Linked DNA regions of Caenorhabditis elegans. Changing the gene in region 2 together with the main gene of any one other region gives a genetic interaction. Each region holds a gene or a part of one and is shown on either strand. Other genes may lie near its edges.

The links.
Region 1: of lec-6 (region 2) and bcf-1, changing one enhances a phenotype caused by changing the other (phenotypic enhancement), as found in Caenorhabditis elegans (one study listed by BioGRID).

The regions. Positions count from the first base shown.
Region 1 is NC_003283.11:6,402,759-6,410,792, reverse strand, and holds the start of bcf-1 (bacterial colonization factor), read left to right. Parts: upstream 1-2,009; coding exon 2,010-2,135; intron 2,136-2,187; coding exon 2,188-2,411; intron 2,412-3,201; coding exon 3,202-8,034.
Region 2 is NC_003281.10:598,995-602,398, reverse strand, and holds lec-6 (Galectin), read left to right. Parts: upstream 1-2,032; 5' UTR 2,033-2,040; coding exon 2,041-2,364; intron 2,365-2,681; coding exon 2,682-2,798; 3' UTR 2,799-2,889; downstream 2,890-3,404.

The sequences.
Region 1 (8,034 bases), on a different chromosome or scaffold from region 2:
AATTATTGAGAACGTTCTAACTAGGCAACCGTCAGAAGGTGCCCATCGGACTTGCATATGAGACTTATGCCATTCGATAGTGCATGTCTTAAAACGGTTGCTCGTGAATTTTTAGCGGCAAAACTCCAGAACCAAGCTCACGGCGGGATCTCAAAGATCCTAAAATAGCACTGTAAATAAGAACTTTAACGATCTAACGAAGCAAGTTTTCATATTCACTTTGGCAGCTCATATAGAAAAGCATTAGAAACTGAATAGCAGCAAAACAATAACAACAACAGTTGCCGCACTTCACGCGCTTCTATCTGAAACAAAAAATTTTTGGGAAAAAACTTTCAACTACAAACTTGTTCTTTACAACAATATCAACAACTTATCAGTTGATGACTTTTCTGTAAAAAAATTATCCGCGGAGATATGATCTACCAAAGTGAATTTGGAAAATTGGCCCTCCAATGCTTCGTTAAAGTGCTATTTTAGGATCATTGAGAGCCCGCCGTGAGCTTGGTTCTGGAGTTTTGCAGCTAAAAATTCACGAGTAACCGTTTTAAGACATGGGCTATCGAATGGCGTAGATCTCATATGCAAGTCCAATGGGTACCTTCTGACGGTTCACTAGTAAGAACTTTAAAAGTTTCCCAAAATAATTTCATATTCAAATTTTTTTACAATTTATATAAAAATATGATAGAAAAAAAAAGACAAAAGACACACACACACAAATACATAGAATATGAAAATCACATTTTTTTTCCTTGATTTCAAAAGTTATGTTATTTAAAACTTGCTCCTTGCTGCGTTTGGTTATATTGGCACCATCTTTTTAAAAATACTTATTAGACAGCCCAAGTAAAAGTGCTCCAAAAGGTGTGTTTTGTACATTTGACAAATTTGTGCTTGAAATTTTAATTCAATTATCATTCGACTCAGACATGGTCTTGAAACCCTTACTCTATTTTTATATGAGTGTGTTTAATATAACTTTCTAAAGAGTTCTGAGGTGTATGTTTTCCCAGAGCATAAAGGTGTCAGATATGATATAAAATATCTACGAAGGAGTATCTGAACAGTTAAAAAAATTTCAAATTATAAGGTTTATAGGTTTTTAATTAAAATGACTATTCCAGGACTGAATTTTGATTTATTGATACATATTGGAATTTCTTTGATTTGGTTTTCAAACTGCCATGTTTTATGATCAGTTTCGATAACAACCAGACGAGTGAAATGAGGCAAAAAGTAAATTCAAAAATGAGTAGTGTAGTTTACCGCGGAGTTTTCAGCAGGATATAATTAATGTTGGTGGATATTCAAATGTGTAATATTGCAATTTAAAATGTTGAGTTTAGATTATAAGTCATCTCCGAATCTATTTTTTTTTCTCAAAAAACTACACTCCAAACCGCCAGAATGAAATCCGCTAGTGACTCATTTTCAGGCTTATCTTCGTTCCATTTTTCAATATTTCACAACTAGCGTGATTTTGATAAAAAATAATGCAAACCACAGTAAAGTAAAAATTTTATTTGGTTAACCAAATGACGAATTGACAGTTAGATAGCTGAAACTAGATTACAGCTATAAATCGGATGACTAAGTATTTGGGTTTGCCAACGCTTCACATACACCCAAAATTCCTGCTCCAACTACTTTTTTGAAGCTCATTTTCTTTTTCTCATTGTTTCTCTTGCAGCAGAAATCACTAATTTCGTATCCTGCTTCACAGGTTTCGCCTCCAAGGTTCTGAGACTCCACCCACTTCGTGCTCTTATCAAGAGAGGGCAACTACCGTATAACAAGGACCGATTGGCGACCAAGAACCAATTTTGACTGTTCATTATAAGAGCCTCATTCTATTTAATTTACATCTCGCCAGGTCGCACTTCACTTCTTCTCTCTACTCGAAGAAGCCCTACTGATTTTTTTCTCAAATTTTATTTCTGAGAGCCTTCCTTGCTTTACTGTGTTTTTTAAGGATCTTACTATTCACTAACACATTCAAATTTCAGATGCGCTTGGGCATTTTCCTGCTGGCACTTGCCGGCTGTTGTAGTTTCGCTAGTGCTAAACAAAACTGCTTAGTCGGAAATCTAATTGTATCGGAAAATGTTATTACATCAAAGTCTGTTGAATTGGTACGTCCATCTAATATACATACATTCTATATATTTACTTTAACTGTTTCAGAGAGAATGCGAAGGATTGTGCAGAAAACAAACTGTCAAATCTCCAAGCGGAGGACTTGTTCTCTTGACATGCGAAGAGAACAAGCTTATGGCTTTCATTAACAAAGGACAGGATTGCTCCAGCAGTGAGCTTGAGACATCATGCTTCTGCGAGGATGAGTTGTGTAACAAGGTCGACTTGGAAGAAAATATTCCAAAGCCAATCGAAGTTATTAATGCCCCAAAGTGAGTTTTGTTATCACTGTTATTTTTGACAACTGATAGGAATTGAGGTTTGCATAAGTCTCTGATAGTAACTTTTGATAAACGACTATTTTTGATAACAGCTGCGAAAGAGAAAAACTGATGCAAAATCAGATTAATTTTTTGACCAATTGAAACTTTTTTTAATATTTCGAAATTTTGAATATTAGAGAAACTAAAAACACACGTCGAAATTTCTCCCGTAGATTTGTTTTTAACTTTAGCGATTGGTTTTGAGCAATTTTTTTCCAAATTTTAAAACATTTTCAAGTTTGTACGATTCAAATGTTTAACGTTTATATGAAATCCATCGTTTTTAGATCAAAAATATGTGTAGCCTTAAATTTTTTAAACTCCTTCCGGAAATCGCACTAACTTCTTACTATATAATATTATTTTTTTAGTATGACTTTTCAGCGATATAGTCTAAAATTGAACTTTTTCACTGTACTTTCTTTTACTATACTTTGTCCTAGTTCAATTCCTGACCACAAACTGTTACGTGTGTAAATTTGCCAGTCAACGTCAAACTGATAACAATAATGGAATAATTGGTTTACATTTGGGCGCGCTTCTTATCTGACTGTGCCAATAACGCACGCAACACAACCATAAAACGTGGCTAGTTAGCTCCTCGGCATTGAAATTCGGAAATATTTTAACCAATTGTGTGATAAGAGATTGATAGTACATTTTTACCAATTACCAAAAAACTTCCCTGAAGGAAGATCAAAGAAGATAAGTGAAGATAAATTGAATGTATTAATTGCAGCAACATCCTCTGCTACGTCGGATTCTATGCCAACAACACTACTCCAGGATTCGGATCAGGAGACACCGTCACTTGCTCCCCAGGAAATGTATGTACCAGTGTTTCTGGAGTCTACAACGGATATGACGCTGCTGCCTACGCTTGCATGCCACAAGGACTTTGCGACAGCATCTTCCCAAATATTGACCCAAATAATCCAATCGCCTGCACCAATCTCGCTGGAACCAACATTCAAGGATGCTGCTGTTACAAGCAAGATTGTACTAGCCTCGCTCCAATGAACAACCCACCAACTCCATCTCCATGGAACAAGAACAACCAGACATGCTATCAAGGAATTTCCGTCAACGGAGCTCTCTTGTACGGAGGATCTTTCTCTCAATGCTTGGGAGAATGCGGATCTGCTCGTATTCGTACCACTTACAATGGAGCCAATGTATGGGGAGAGATCTTCGTTTGTGACCCAGTCAACGTCTTCACTGCTTTGAACCTCGACAACGGATGCATGAACCTTGACACCCAAAACATCAATGGAGTCCCAACCGCTCTCATCACCGGCTGTGCCTGCAACAGCATGGACAAATGTATTGACCCAACTGTTGTTCCACCAGTCTACCCAGTCAAGCAGCTCAGATGCGCTGTCGGACTTTACAATGGAACAACCTGGCTCGGAGCTGAAATGAACTGCCAAGGACGATGTGGACGTGTCAGGTTCAATGCCAACGGACAACAAGTTTCATACTTCACTTGCATGCCATACGATGTCTGCGCTGGATTCGGACTTGCTTCCACTGAAGGACAAACCTACAATCCACCACAAGACGAGGAACTTGAGGTGTACTGCTGCTCTGCTAGCAACAACTGCAACGTTAACAATCCATACATTCTCGGACGTGTGAATAACTCTGCTGTGTCTACCGCCAAGTATCCAGTTCTCTGCTACGGAGGAATCTGGGTTAACGGAGTTTCCATCACCAACTCTGCTTACGGACTCTGCCAAGGAGAGTGTGCTTCAGCTAGCTTCACCACCACCTTCGCCAACCAAGTTCACAATGCTACCATCTACACTTGCGATCCAGTCACAATGTGCCAACAAGCCGGAATCTCCAACTCTTGCGGAAGCGTTCTTGGAGGAGTCAATGCTTGCTGTTGCGACAATGATCTTTGCATTGATCCAAACAGAGGATCTCAACGCCCACAACTTCGTTGCTATTCTGGAGTTTCTATTCCACAAGACAAATACAACACTGGAGGAGACCAATTCTGTGATGGATGGTGCGGATCCTTGAACTCTGTTGTCAACGGAAAGAACGCAACTGTCTACTACTGCGCCCCAGTTGGAATGTGCCGCTACTTCGGACTCGGATTCGGAGGATCTTACGGAAACTGTGGACAAATCCCAGGAGCTGACCCACAAGTCACTGGATGCTGCTGCTCAGAAACTGACAACTGTCTTGCCCCAGCTGGAGTCAACGTCACTGCCATCCCAGCTCGTCGTGACCCAAGAATTGTCTGCTACGAAGGAATCCATCTCAACGGACAAAACATCAGCCAGCCTTACTACCGCATGTGCGACGGAGAATGTGTGTCTGTTTCCCTTGGAGGAACCGTCAATAACAACTCTCACTACGCTACTCTCTACACCTGCGATCCAAGCAGTGCCTGTGCCGCGATGGGACTTCGTAACAACTGCTCCACCATTGACAACTCTCTCACTGCTTGCTGCTGTGACTCCAATGAGTGTATTGATCCAACCTACAACCGTGTTCCAGGAAAAGCTCTCAAATGCTACGTCGGTATCAGCACCCAGCACAAGGGAAACATCGCAGGAGCTGAAGTTCTTTGCGACGGATATTGTGCCACCGTTTCCGCTGTTGTCGGATCCGACTATGTCACCGCCTTCCATTGCGCTCCAAGATCTATGTGCCGTTCCCTTGGACTTGACAACTCGAACAACACTTTCTACTTGGACAGATTCGTCAACGCGTACTGCTGTGATGTCTTCGACAACTGCAACGTTGCTACGTCTGGATTCAACGTCACCATTCCACCACTTGCACCAAATGAGATGCCACGCGCTTGCTATTCTGGAATTTTCATTGGAGGAAGCCAAATCTCTGACGGAGGATGGACTGCTTGCAAGGGAGATTGTGTTGCTGTCAACTTGAACACCACATACAACGGAGTTGCTACCACTGCTTCTCTTTACACGTGTGACCCATCTTACATCTGCAGAATGATGAACTCAACAAACAGATGCCACCAACAAGAACAAGGATTCGAGACTTGCTGCTGTGACAGCGATGCTTGCCTCGATCCAACATCCACCCCACCACGTAAACCATATGGAGATGGAAACCTCTGTTACGTCGGAGCTTACTCCTATGATTTGAAGGGAAATACCATCTTCAATGCCGGAGGAGAACAATACTGCGAAGGAAACTGCGCATCTGTTACTTCAACACTTGCCAACGCTAACGTCACTGTTTACGCTTGTGTCCCAGCATACGTCTGTAACAGCTTGTACGTCTATGACAGCTGCCGCACACTCTGGTATGATAGAGATATCACTGGATGTTGTTGTACCAATGGACCTAACTGCAACTTGAATCAAGTTGTTCCAAGACCTCCAATCAACAATCCCGGAAGAAGACGTCCACGTGTTGAATATCCAATCACCTGCCCAGCTGGTCTTATCGTTGACGGATTCAACCAAACTCCAATGGAATTCTCCGTTTGCTTCGGTGAATGTGCCTCTGTCAGCATCAATGCTACGATCAACGGAACTTTGCACACGGCTTCCTTCTACACTTGTGATCCATCGTCTGTCTGCTACCAACTTAAAGTTCATAACAACTGTACTTCCCCAGAAGCTGGAGTAACCGCTTGCTGCTGCGACAGTGATGCTTGCCTCGACCCGAACAGAGGAAAGACCGTTCCAACTCCACCACTCAAGTGCTACGTTGGACTTTACTCTACCAGCGTGCCATCACTTCAAACCGGAGCTGAACAACTCTGCGACGGAAAGTGCGCTTCTGTTAGCGCTCGCATTGCCAATGACAACGTGACCCTCTTCGCTTGTGTTCCACACTCTCTATGCCGTTCCCTCGAGCTCTACGATTCCTGCGCCCGCATGGAGCCATACTACCCAGAATTCCGAGCTTGCTGCTGTGACAATGCTGATAACTGCAACGTTCAACAGACCCATCTTGCCAATGTGATCAACACCACCATCCCACTCACTCCACTCAATGATGCTCCAATATCTTGCTACTCCGGACTTTTCATCAACGGAACCGCTTACAGCTCAGCTGGATGGCAGGTTTGCCAAGGAGAGTGTGTCTCAGTATCAATCACATCTCAATTCAATGGACAAGCCGGAACCGCTGCTCTTTACACCTGCGATCCATCCCGCGTTTGCCGTAATTTGAACATTCTGAACAAGTGCTCCAGTCTTGAGAACGGAATTACCGGATGCTGCTGTAACACCAATGCCTGTATTGATCCAACAGTCTATCCAGCTCGTAACCCAGGAAACCAACTTATGTGCTATGCTGGTATCAGCTCGAACTACATTGTTAATGGAAGCGCAGTTAACGTTGGAGCTCAAATTCCATGTAACGGACAATGCTCATCCCTCTCAGGAGTTGTCGGTGGATTCCAAGTCAACACCTATCACTGCATGCCAAACTCGATCTGTAACTCCCTTGAACTCTACGACAACTGCAAACCAGTTTGGAATGACAACCAAGTCACTGGATGCTGCTGTAACAATGCCAACAACTGTAACATTGCCAATACCACCATCACTCCACCACCACCACCAACTTCAGTCGACTATGCTATTGCTTGCTACACTGGACTTTATGTCAACGGTGTTCCATCTACTCCAGTCATTCTCGGAGCTTGCCAGGGACAATGTGCGTCCATCTCATTGAACACTACACTCAACGGAGTTGCCACCACAGCAACTCTTTACGGATGCGACCCAAGCACTGTTTGCCAATCTCTCAACATGAACAACTGGTGTGCCTCCCCAATCCCAGGAGTCTCCGGATGCTGCTGTAACACTGATCTCTGCCTTGATCCACCAAAGAACAAGACTGTACCATCTGGATTCCGCAAGTGCTTCGCTGGAATCTACGCTCAAGGAAAGGCCACTGGATCTGAAATCTTCTGCCCAGGAAAGTGCGCCTCAATTCAAGCTACCCTCAACCAAGACCCAGTTGCTATCTTCGGATGCGTGCCAACCCAATTCTGCAGACAACTCGAGATGTACGACGAGTGCAAACCACTTCCATATGATACCACAGTTACGGGATGCTGCTGCGACAACTACAACAACTGCAACGTCGATTTGGCTGGATATGGTGGAAAGATCAATACTTCAATGCCAGTTACGAACTTCCGTGATTATCCAATCGCTTGCTTCTCTGGTCTTTACGTCAATAACATGCCAATTTCCATCGCTGGTTGGCAAGCATGTAAGGGAGAATGCGCTTCTGCTACTCTCTCAACCATGTACAATGGAGCTCTCACCAACGCTACAATTTACACTTGCGATCCAGTCAGCACATGCTATCAACTTGGAATGAACAACAATTGTACTACCATTGAGAATGGACTTTCCGGATGCTGCTGTTCTACCGATGCTTGCCTCGACCCAACTGTTTCTCCACCACGTACTCCTAACCCACTCAAGTGCTACGTTGGTCTACAATCTACCTACAATTCGTTGAGCCTCGGAGCTGAGACCTATTGTTCCGGACAATGCGCTTCATTGACTGGAATCGTCGGAGGTTTCAATGTCACTACTTATCACTGTGTTGCTGA
Region 2 (3,404 bases):
TGGCAAATTTGGTAAATTTGACGCACACCCCTAGTAGAAACGTTGTTCAAAATTCTTGGAAAAAATTATTACCACTTCAATAAGTTTGATAGTAGTCTAGAATCAAATTGGAATACGATGGTAATTAACAATGCTTTTAAAAAAAATTGAATTTGCAAAGGTCTAAATAATTTCCCATGCTCCATACGAAGAAAATGATTACTCAAATTTAACCGATATTCATGAATTGTAGAAAAATAACTTTCTGGTAATCGTCAAATTGTTTGACATTTTCCTTATCAATAATTAATCATCAAAATTATTGAGGAGAAAAAATCAGCTTCATGACTAAATTACATCACTACTAGCCGGAAATGCCATCATTGAACTTTTACGGACACGTGGCTCCTGGGTATACTTGAAAATCTTAAAGGTGGAGTACCGAAATCAGAGACTTTGTTTTTAGACCCAAAATAGCCCAAAACTACCGAATTTCGTAATGAGACGTTTTCAAAACTTCGCAAAAAAAAATTATGGCGGTTCAAAGTTCTGGAAAAACAGACCCATTTTCAGCTAAAATAAAATTTTCATTCTTTGATAAATATTGTGGTTTTTTATTAGGAGTTTATTGTTTGATTAAAGTGCATTTTCGGTCATTGGGGCACAAAAACATAGCTTTTATTTGTGCCCCACTGGCCGAAAATGTACTTAAACCAACGAATAAATGCGCATTAAACGATCACATTATTTATTAGAAAGTGGTAATTAAATACAAATTAACTTCCAGACGCAGCGACACCGAGAAGTTGGAAACAATTTGATTTTAGCTGAAAGTGGACCTTTTTCCAGATTTTTGAACTGCCATAACGTGTTGAGAAATTTTCAAGATGTCTCATTACGATATGCGGTAGTTTTGAGCCTAAAAAGCAAAGTCTCAGATTTCGGTACTCCACCTTTAAGCTTTAAGTTACTGTAAACTCAAGTTTCAGAAGTTTTTAAAAGTTCAATTTTTATAGTATTGGAAAGTTTACCACATACAATTGCAATATGGCTTAACGGAGGAAGATTTTAAGAAAATGCCACATTGAAATTCTCTGAAGATTCATTGAAAGGAAAAGTACTATTTATAAGTCAGCATTAAAAAAACTGCCACGTTATATATTGTTTAGCGCTAATAAAAACCCAAGCTATTAAAGAAAATTGCGGTATCTTCTGTCTTCAATGTCAGCGGGTTTTATTACATTATTGATCGGTTTTTCTTGGTGAGCTGGTATGTACCAAGTTCTCCCTGTAACTTGGCACTTCGATAATAAGGGTTGTAAATGGTGACGTGTGGAACGAGGAACAATTAAATAACTAAAATACGAATTTAGGTTGAAAAACTCCTAAAATAAAACAATTCAGAGATTTTGCAAATTTGTTAAAACTCTAGAATTTTATCACTACTTCCTCTCTTGACGTTTATCAGCACACATCTTAATTTCCAAACTAACTCGTGACATTCTTTATGCCGGGCTGAATTTTTCATCGAAAAGCCTTTTTCAGTTCAGTAAACAAGCAACTTATCATCGAAATAGTTCGAGGCGGAGCATATGCCAACTCATCAATAAGTTGATAAGAAACACTGCTTATAAGAGACGATGGCAGGTGTACAATGTACTCAAGCCTTTTTTTCCATGATTCATGTAGTAAGGAATTCTCTAGAATCGTATTTGATGACTCATAGGCAAGAATCCGCCCATTCTGTGATGTATAAATAGATGAGGATTGTTTACATTTATTGCCCAATTTCTATTTTTTTTTCGTTGAACATTTTCCCCCAGTAGACACCGAGAATTGTTTACTTTGCCGAGGGTTTTTCATACGCTCTTATCAACTTTCAAACTACTCGGCTTTTCGATCTTTAGACATTTTACATCACCTAGTGATAAAACATGCGATTTAGAGCCAAAGAATCAGCTTACAATTCTCATAGATGTACATTTTATACGAATAGTGGTCTTAGTATTGCTCCTAACATGTTTCCCTTCCCAACTCACACAGTTGATTTCAGAATCAACCATGATCGGAGGAGGAATCGGAATCAGCTTCCGCAACGAATTCTTCAACCCACAAACCCCAGTGAACATCCCAGTGCAAGGATTCTCCAACGGTGCTCGCCTCCGTCTCGTTCTTCTCCCAACATCCGCCGATTCTCGTTTCCACATCAATCTTCGCACTCCAGACGACATTGTTCTTCACTTCAACGCTAGATTCGATGAGGGAGCTGTTGTGAACAACTCGACCAGCGGAGGAGGTTGGCAATCCGAGGATCGTCACGCCAATCCATTCCAGCAGAACAAGATCTACACTCTGGAGTTTGTGTCCAACGGTGGAATTATCTCGGTTAGTTGGATTCTGGGCTTAAGAATGTTAAGGCGGACTGTGTTCGTGCAAAGCACGTGGTGCCAGACTGTCTCGTTGCGGTTTGATCTACAAAAAATGAGGGAATTTTTCGTGACATCAGCACACTCTTAATCATGCGAAATCAGTTGAGAAGTCAGCGCCTCTTCGGCCGCATTTTTTGAAGATCACACCAAAATGGGACACTTCGACACCACGTGGAAAAGTTTGATTTTTCGTACTCCCATCTCTGATGAGCATTGGATTTCGAGCCCTGTTCACCTACTGAAACTTAATCTTTAAACTATTATATTTTTCAGATCTTCGTCAACGGAGCCCACTTCGCTGACTTTGTCGAGCGTACTCCATCCCACGGAGTCCATCTCATTGAGATCGAGGGAGGAGTTCATGTTCATTCCGCCCATGTTTCTCACTAATTTATTTAATTTTTGGTTTAAAATACTCTTTCTTTATGATACATTTTGAATTTTTGTGCAAATTTCATATCAATAAACCTTGGTTTTGAATATTTCTATTTTCTAAATTCCGAAAAATGGATTCGCAGACACTGAGTCGAAGCGCCATATTTTACGCGCAATTTCGGCAGTAATGGTAGAGGTCACCGCTATAAAGTTGATAATTCATAGTTTATTATTATGAAGCATCAGTTTTAGCGTGCTTAGCGTCCCCTAATACTTTTTAATCATTACTTAGTTCCAAAGGGCATTTTCTCTTAAAACTTCTTATCTCGAAAAAATAGTGAAGGAATTCGATTTATTCTTCGGAAAAGATTTTTTTTTGAAAATTCTTAATCAGATTTTCACTTATTTTCTTTTAATAAAGCTTTATTTTCTATTTTATATCCACTCGTTCATTTAAAGCAAGTTTCAAAAACTGAAATCGAGGAAAATACTATTTTAGGGTACTGTAGTTCCTGTTCGGTGCAAACACTGTGGCTGCGGACCGGGCACCTTATTTGACGCACAAAATTTATTTGAATTATTTTTTTTCATTTTCTCTTCGTTTTTGTCTATTTTCCAGCC